Daphnia pulex: one gene and its partner. The main gene of each other region encodes a partner of the protein of the gene in region 2 in a complex. Links are inferred from orthologs where the notes say so. Each region holds a gene or a part of one and is shown on either strand. Other genes may lie near its edges.

The links. The genes of interacting proteins can lie anywhere in the genome.
Region 1: myb-related protein A-like (region 2) and transcription factor Dp-1-like share a complex: the UniProt entries of both Drosophila melanogaster proteins name them as parts of the DREAM complex. The link is inferred for Daphnia pulex from reciprocal best matches to the Drosophila melanogaster genes Myb and Dp.

Annotation. Positions count from the first base shown.
Region 1 is NC_060023.1:5,717,473-5,721,932, forward strand, and holds the start of transcription factor Dp-1-like, read left to right. Parts: upstream 1-1,442; 5' UTR 1,443-1,674; intron 1,675-1,734; exon of another isoform or gene 1,735-1,989; 5' UTR 1,990-2,144; coding exon 2,145-2,202; intron 2,203-2,279; coding exon 2,280-2,377; intron 2,378-2,444; coding exon 2,445-2,746; intron 2,747-2,805; coding exon 2,806-2,968; intron 2,969-3,028; coding exon 3,029-3,259; intron 3,260-3,321; coding exon 3,322-3,573; intron 3,574-3,632; coding exon 3,633-3,869; 3' UTR 3,870-4,460. Other genes in the region: F-box/SPRY domain-containing protein 1-like, read right to left, coding at 33-130, 201-439, 560-663. UniProt on the Drosophila melanogaster protein: Component of the DREAM complex, a multiprotein complex that can both act as a transcription activator or repressor depending on the context. In follicle cells, the complex plays a central role in the site-specific DNA replication at the chorion loci.
Region 2 is NC_060022.1:6,349,356-6,353,873, forward strand, and holds the start of myb-related protein A-like, read left to right. Parts: upstream 1-1,688; 5' UTR 1,689-1,929; intron 1,930-2,009; exon of another isoform or gene 2,010-2,168; intron 2,169-3,650; 5' UTR 3,651-3,668; coding exon 3,669-3,902; intron 3,903-3,991; coding exon 3,992-4,141; intron 4,142-4,518. Other genes in the region: zinc finger FYVE domain-containing protein 9-like, read left to right, coding at 1-155, 221-467, 530-821, 887-1,039. UniProt on the Drosophila melanogaster protein: DNA-binding protein that specifically recognizes the sequence 5'-YAAC[GT]G-3'. Component of the DREAM complex, a multiprotein complex that can both act as a transcription activator or repressor depending on the context.

The DNA of each region.
Region 1 (4,460 bases), on a different chromosome or scaffold from region 2:
GATAAAATATTCAAATTTTAACACAATTATACCTGGAGAGTTGCTTCTTTAGTTGCAATTCCAACAACTGCAACTGTTCCAAGAGGACCTTCCCACATCACTTCCCAGGCATGCCTACCTTGACTGAATCCTGCACAAACATTAGTTGAATGGATTAATATGTACACTTGCAACAGGCATCTACAATATTTAGTACTCACCAATTTTACCTCTCACAGCATCTGTACTCTGTGCAACAGGGTTTCTGTGTATGGTAAAACCATTGGGTTTGATATAAATGTTTCTAGAGCAGTCTTCTGGGTTCCAAGCATGGTGAAATGCTTTTAATTTTGTTTTGTAGGTAGGAGCGGAAGATAGGAGGTCTGAGCTCAGGACTTCTTCTGCCAGTTTTCGTATGCAGTGCAGTCTCCAGACATCATTGTCCTCATCATTCAGTATACTGATTCAAATAATAATGTGCAAGGAGAACATAAGTTTCAAACAATCGCTGGTTTTGTTAGCAACGGTAGATCACTAGCGAATAGTCACAAACTGGTGTTGATTTCAAGAAAACTTGTACCTGTACCACCGTTTGCACACCAACGAACTGCTTCTTAAATCCTGCAGCGGCAAATATGAGAAAATATTTCCTAGTATAATATCTGGTAGTATATCCACGTGCATTCTAAACGCCGGCTCGCAAACACTTCAACATTCATTTAGGAAATTTCTTTCGATTTTTTCTGCAATTGACAATACTTCTATGGCAGAACCGGTGTTGCCACATTGCCATAGCAATTGATCTGAAATAAGAAAACCGAACAAAAATTATGAGAATCTAAACAACTTGATAAAACACTGAATTACACCTGTGAAAAAACGATATATTAATATCAAACTACTTTTTTACTAGTTTTTAAGATAAAATAATATTTTAGTTTATGTTTGAAATGGTTCCCGCGTATCCGGAAAAGCAGACGACGTTTGATTTTACTTAGCCTTCTGATTTATGATTTCATTCATATTCATGCTCGATTTCAATAAAAATTTAACGCTTTTCCCATGAAATTAATCAAATTAGCACTTAGTTATTACGATACATTTATTACGATAACTGTATTAACAGCCAAATTAAAAAAATAGACCAATTTAAAAGAGCGAAATAAAAAAAATATATTTCAGAAATTAATAAAATAAAATAACGAAATCGCTGAACACTTGCCTGCGCTTAATTAATTTCCTCTTTCTCCTTCATGTTTTAGCGCTACTTAGTATTTTACATGAATATTTGAAAAAGAGAAAAGGAGAAATTAAACGAGCAAGGAAAATCGAAAATCATTTGTTCATATTTTTGTTCTCACCCAACGACCCAAGGTCACGAGTTTGTTTGAATTTCGAATTTCTGCCCGTTGAAAGTATCGATTTTTTTTTCATTGCAAATTGCGATAGATAGAAAGCGAACTCATGGAGAAGTTAGAATTGAATTGAATCCCAGTCTCATATGACGTACATATAAGACGCTCACTCAGTAAACCCCCCGGACGAAAAAATAAAGAAAAAAAAAATATAATAAAAACTAAGCCGTTGGCCTGCTGTGCCATCATCACCCCCTCGTGCATTTTTGCCTAGCTGCCTGCTGATGCTACAGCAGTGTGTGTCTAGTGACGATCGTATAAAGTTGGCCCAGAACCTTAGGTAAACCCTATTGTCTCTTTTGTTTTGGATTGAGGGGATTTTTATTTTTTATTCATAAAGTGAATTAGATAATAAAGGAGGATACTATTTGTCATTGAGCTTGGAAAGTTTAAGTGAAGATGTCTGCAAAAATCTTAAAATAAGGGGGAAAACTTACCGGTGTGGGGTATCGACTGGTGATGGCGTTTTGGGCGCCATTTCGCTCATCGTGTTCTGAAATCATTTGGAGGAATAAATACGGGGAATTTCCATTTTAGTCTATTTAGATTCTATCATAGTTCTATATGAAATTTGATGATATCTGTAATTTGACAGGAAGTTCGAATTATAACGGCGCTCAGTTGATCATACTTTTGGTCCCACCCACCAAAGATGCTTGTTTGACAAAACATTGTCAGCACATTGGATCTTCCTTGATCTCTTCTCTTTACAGTTAAATAATATAAATAAATTTACAAGAGGTTAAGGAGATGGCACAGTCAACCCCAACTGGAAACATCACCAACATTTGGATCCAAGATGCAAATGGTATGTCAAAGTCTAGACTAAGAAATTATCTCATTCTTTTCAACAAGATAATAAAATGATGGTTGTTTGCATTCCAGGTCAGCCACAAATGATAAAAGTGGTGCATGCCACTGCTGGAAAAGGTGTTCCAGTGTCCATGGCTTCTGGAGCAGTTAGAGCTGTTCTGCGATCTAATGTAAGTCAAGGATGTGCTTGAATAAAATGTAAAAGATGTTAACAATGTTGGCTGAAAATTTGTTTAGGGAACCGTTTTGGCTGCCACACCTCAGATGTTGCAGTCACTTGGCAGAGTGACAAGAGCACCTGGACCTCGTGGACAAGTGGCAGCTGGACAGATACTAGCCATACCATTATCATCAGGAAATGGATCTACTCCGAGTAACAAAAACACTGCTGTACAGTTACCAGTAGTGCCTGTTGTGTTGAGCACTCCTCAACGCTTAAATCAGCAACAACAACAGGGCAAAAACTTCATTTCCCCAATTCTTGATCACAGTGGTTCACGAAAAAGGCAAGATCCTGACCATGAACATGGTTCTGAGAGGTAACTTTTCATTTTATTTTTCAAATGAGTAGTTTTATGAGTAAACTCATTTTTAATAGTAAACGGCGTAAGGTAGACAAAGGAGGCAAAGGATTACGTCATTTCTCGATGAAGGTGTGTGAAAAGGTTCAGAAGAAGGGTACTACAACATACAATGAGGTTGCTGATGAACTTGTAGCTGAATTCACTGATCCATCTCGTTGCACTTCACCTGCTGACCAAGTTAGTATCGTATTAGAAATTCATCTTTTTATCAGTGAAATAATGTTAATTTATTGACAGTATGACCAAAAAAATATTCGGCGTCGGGTTTACGATGCACTGAATGTGCTCATGGCCATGAACATCATATCGAAAGAGAAAAAAGAGATCAAGTGGCTTGGTTTACCTACAAATTCGTTGCAAGAATTCCAGGCACTGGAAGCGGAGAAGCAACGTCGGCTAGAAAGAATTAAGCAAAAGACGCAACAATTGCAAGAATTGGTCCTTCAGCAGATCGCCTTCAAGAGCTTGGTTGTTAATGTTTTTTCTAGTAAAACAGAAACATTTTACTGACACGTCTTGTTTACCTTTAGGTTCAAAGAAACAAGCAAAATGAGCGTCTTCACGGTGGCCCTGCCAGTAATTCTACCATACAGCTACCATTTTTGGTCGTAAATACTAGCAAGAAAACAGTGATTGACTGCTCCATATCTAGCGATAAGATGGAGTATCTCTTCACCTTTGATGATACTTTCGAAATTCATGATGATATTGAAGTCCTTAAGCGAATGGGCATGGCCCTTGGGCTTAACGAGGCCACTTGTACTGAAGAGAATCTCGCCAAGGTATTTTTGTTCTTTTATTTTTAAAGTTTATCTTAATTTTTAAATTTTTCTCGTTTTAGGCCAAGTCTTATGTTCCAAAAGCGTTGGAACATTATGTAGATCAGTTGGCTAGCGGTCAGGCCGAGCCACAGTGGCCAGAGGACGTCAATCCTGTGGTTAAGGAAACCTCAGATCACTTTGGAAATCAAGGTGTTCGAGCAGTTACACCTACAGCGTCGGTCTCAACAGGTTTCTCAGACTCCGAGGATGACGATGTGGATGACGATGAAGACAACTCCGACGTGGAAATCAATTAAAGGGTGTGGTTCTACTGATGCGTTGTCTCATTGCGTCCATTTCTACTGTCGCTTTACATGCGGCTGTCCTCGCTGATTGGATGCATTTCTCTTCGCTTGTTCTCGGTTCAGTGTTTACCCTTTCCTTAGAACCTCCTTTTCAATGTCGCCAATTTAAGCCAAGTGAGAGTATCCATCGATGATTTTCGTGGGAATCTGAACCGCGTGTGTGTGTCTATTAAGATGACGGAGTGAGCTCTTGTCGGTATAGGAGACCGCATCGACAACTGGAAACATTGAAAACTCAGGTGATGAATATTTGCAAAAGTGCCTGTCGATGTATTTTCGAGTAGAAGTGAGGTTTCATTGTCGATAACAGTTTTCTTCGTTCATTTTTGTTTACCGTCGTACAAAAACAATGTCGTTCGTTATTTTCGTCTCTTAGTGTTCATATCTTGTTCATCCATCTCGTTGACACGAGCATGTCCGGGTGCATCAATAGTCTTTGCTGGCTATAAACTATTCCATTTCACTTTGCCCTATGATGGGTATTTATTGCAAACTTCACAACTGTATTACCTTACATTTCATGAGTACACATTACAAAAAAAG
Region 2 (4,518 bases):
GCAAGTGTGTAAAGCACTAGCCCAGTCTAACGATCATGTCATTTCACTTGCAGCATCGTTCAGTCCTCAAGCAGATGCTCATCTCGTTTGTCTTCAATTGGATGATGGATCTTATCAAACTCAAGCGATTAACATCCACACACGGCCACGAAAAGGTTAGTTATTCGGTATTTTATAATATAATTAAAAGAATTACTGATTTTTTTCTTCCCTTGCGTAGTTACTGGAGCAAGTTTCTTAGTATTAAATGGTGCTTTGAAAAGCTCCAGTGGTATAAGTGGTCGCTCTTCGATTGTTGAAGATGGAGTTATGGTACAACTCCTTCCAGATATGCTCAGTAATCTAAAACAAGCACTAATTCGAATGGAGAATTACACTATCCAATGCGGGAAAATAATCGATGATCAACCGGAAGAAACGGTTACACTTAAATGGGTAGATCAAGAACCATCTCCTGTTAATCTAGGGTAATTTATCAATGCATATTGTTTGAAAATTTTGTAAATTAACAATTGCTTGTTTGATAAAGAGTTCAATCTCCTATCGATGGTCGAAGCTTCACTGGGATATCATCGATTCGAGTGATGCAGCCGCGTGACTTTAAAGGCGAGGGTCATAGACTTTTGCGTTGGACAGAACTTTTTGTTATTCAAATAGAGGACAGTGCACGCTCTTCCTCTAATAGAATTGAGGATAATGGAGACATCACACGTTTCGCTGAAACTTTGGCCAAAGCTGCATCAGTGGCTCTGGCCGCCAAACTCGCAAGCCTCGAGCCTCACACTTTGATTGGGCTACGTGTTTCTTTGGACGGAGATTCGGTAAATTAGATTATACCTTTTTCTCTTAAAATATCAAATCATCCACCATGTTCGGCTTTGTCTAGGTGGAATATCAAGCAGGAGCCGGACAAACCTCCCTGCCGAATGCATGTGTCGAGGAACTGGATTCATCGCTAATCCCAATCTTACATCGAGAATCTTCAGGTCAAGGAGTTCCCTGTATAGTGGAACTTTGGTTTCAAGTCGTTCATCCGTAAATGGCGATTTCTTTGGCTGATGCTGATGCGACAGCTGTAACCGAAATGTGATTTGGCTTTGTAATATTTGTATAACAATGAAGTAGTGGCTTTTCTTATTGCTGCTATCCAAAAATTTTGTTACTCTGTTGTTATCACAAAGGTTCTATATACTGGTTGCCATTCCCCTCTTCCTTATCTTTTGAGAGAAAACATTTTCCCTCGTCTAAATACCAATAAACTTCGGTTAGTCATCTTATCTTTCCATTTGTTCGAAAAGTTATACTTCCTAACAATTTTTGAAATTAATATTTAATGATTTTAGTCATGTTAGCGTTTCCTTAACGCGAGCGCAAATTAGAAAACAAAATCATCGCACCTAATCTCATTTTCAAGATGAAAAAACCCATTGAAATAGACATTTTATCAATTTCAAATGCAGAATATAAGATGAGTTCATACAAAGATAAGTAAAAACGAGTGCATAGATGCAGTATTATATTTTGTCTAGTTTTATTTTTATCTTAGCTGTTGCCAATCGTAATCAGCTCCGCCATCTGTTATTAAACTTTTGAATTGCGTAAAGCCAGCCAATCAGAAAGCTTAAACAATGCGAACCAATAGGCGACGCTCCTCATCCCCAAGCTTGGGCGCCATTTTTTTTCAAAAAAGGGGAAGGGTACTGACAACAAGGCTTCCCGCCTCATGGAACTCCAATGGCCGCCATTCCCTAGTAGTCGCTCAAAACATACAGCTGCGGTGTGTCCGCTTTCTGAAAACAGTGCTAAGTAATTGAAACGAAACAGTAGTGTCGTGAGATTCTGTGGATTTGTTTACAATCATCTCACCATGGTGAGGTAAAACATCACTCATTTACCCGACCCGTTGCCAACTACGATTCAATACTCAAGGTAAAACGTGAAATCTCTATCTAGCATGCCTTGTTTCCCTCCACAAGTGGTGGGGACGATTATAGCAACAAAGCAGACTTTTCGAGTTGTGCGTTTGGCCCAGTCTGGACAGAGTTTTCGCTTTCTTTTGATGCTAGTTTTCTCTTAGGACAAAGAAATTTTCGAAAAGTTGTATTGCAATTTCAGAAAAATAAGTCAAGTCTGTTGTCGACTTTCTGGCGATTTTTTTACTTAAGCAGGTATACCCTTTTTTATGTTTAAATTCTCAGGAGAGCTGAAAAGGTCTTAGTCTCGCCTGGACAAAGAGTTTTACCTCTTTTAATCCAAACCGATAGAAGAATATGGTTTCAATTGTCTTGTCTGCAGGTAGAAAAAAAAACTTTAAAAAAATCGGTGTTTGGGAGTCAAAGATAACCGAGATAAGAACAAAGCCGGTTTTTTTTCTGTGAAGTGATTCTTATTATCTTGAAATCTTTAATTCAATTTCAAAAGTTATCGTTTCCCCAATGGAAAGTAACTCTTATTCCGACAGTCCATTTCATTTCCTAATTTCTTCGAAATTGGTAAACATTTCTGAAGCAAGTTTTGGTTTCAGCATTTTGTTTCCAAAAATGGAAAGTCGGGCCTCTCTCCATTGGTCATTAGCATTTCTTCGAGACGTCTACGTTTGTTCGTCGTTTTCCATTGTCCTTCTGGCACGGGTCTTTCATTATTACCGAAAAGCACATCTATCACTTTGATCTTAATAGGGAATTCGCTTCATGTTGGTGCTGACCACCTGCCCGATAATTGTGTTAGACCTGGTTTCCCCTCCACTAGAGTGAAGGCTGATTTGTATAGGGGGGTGACAGCAGCTGCTTGATGGCTAAACACAGGCGCGCCCGTATACGGCATTGTCTTTATTTAGTTCCGGGCAAGTTGGGGGGTACCATCGACAAGCTTTAAGTTTGATTCACTGTGTAGTCCCAGCAAAAGAGGTCAAGAGAGCACAGAACAAGCGACGCCGTCTATTTTTTTATATACGAGGGGTAAATATGGACGTCGAGATGGCATCAAAATAAAAGTTGCTCTCTTATGTTGGAACACAAGGGTTTTTTGCTTGCAGAGAGAGGGGAGATTGTGTTGGAATCGAGCGAGGGGGGCTGAATTCAGAAGAGAGGGGCAGCAGCTGTAGCAGATGTTCAATGCCGGCGTGCATACAGCGTCGTAGTGGTAGACTTCCTCTTTTTCTTTCACTCATGGCCGATTATGAAAGACCTTGTGCCTGTCCCACGGTTATCGATCCGTCCCCCTGGCTTTCTCTCTTGAGAGATTCTTCGAGGTTCTAGATCGCGCCACCCACCATAGGGAAACATTCCTTTTATCAGGCAAAGAAATGTGAGATCGAATAAGAGCGACGAGGGTGAATTTGGAGACGGAAGAAAATATTCCGTCTTTGCAGTGGAGCCCAGTCGTCTACTGTTTTTTTTCTTCTTCTATTATTCCTCTACTTCGGTCTTTTTACAGTACAGAGCTAATGTATTCTGAGTCATGTCGCCGGATAATCTCCCTTGCAACCATGTGCACACAAGAGCGTGAAGAACTTTCTTTTCCATTTGCAATCCATTCATTGTCCAAAACCCTACCGTAGGAATTTGAATGGGCGAACTGGAGCCATTGTCAACGCATACCTGTACCGTAAGACGTGAAATAATAACCCAGAAAATTGTGTGATTTTTTAGACCTGCCAAGTAGACGAGATGAACGACTTTGGAATGGACGCTGATAGCAACAGTTGGGGCTCGGATTATGGCGAGGACTTTGGATCGGATATTTCAGATGGTGAATATCAGCCGAACGGCGCCGCCACTGCCTCCAGCAGCGCCCAACACCACCAAGCGAGTTCAACAGCCACCTCCCGGGTTGCTACAAAAACCAAAGGAGGTGCCCAAGCCAGAAAAATGGTGAACCGCGGGAGATGGACCAAGGACGAAGTGAGTTTGCCTCCCCCGCCCACTACCTACCCCTTCAACTTTCAGCCCCAAGTCTTGTAGAGTTAATGATTTTCTTGCCCTTTTTGTAGGATGAAAAACTTAAAGGAGTTGTGGAACGCACCGGTGAAATTTGGGAGAACGTAGCCTCCTTCTTTGAAGATCGATCGGACGTTCAATGCCAACACCGATGGACAAAAGTCGTCAATCCTCAGCTGGTTAAGGGACCTTGGACCAAAGAGGTAAAATTTGTTTATACCTTTGTTTGTGTCTTTATTTTATTTTCCTTCTTTTCTTCTTGAAAATTCCGTGACTGATTCAATGAAAGCCTTATTTCCGGTTCATGTGTCGAGCATTTCCGCTTGACGATTACCTTGCCATTAAAAGAAAGTGTCCTCTCAAGATCGTACGGCCTGATAATTACCTTGAATGTTTTATGCTGTGTTGTATGGAGCAGAAACGATGTCATCACAAAGAAAACGTGAAGAATGGAGGGAACTTGCGGCAAATAGAGAGGATGCCGGATGCCAGAGGGGGGAAAGGAGGGAGTTTGAAGAGGGGAGAGAGAGCAAAGTTTAAAACAGGAAACCAAATTCTATGGCTTGGTGAAACAGCAGGG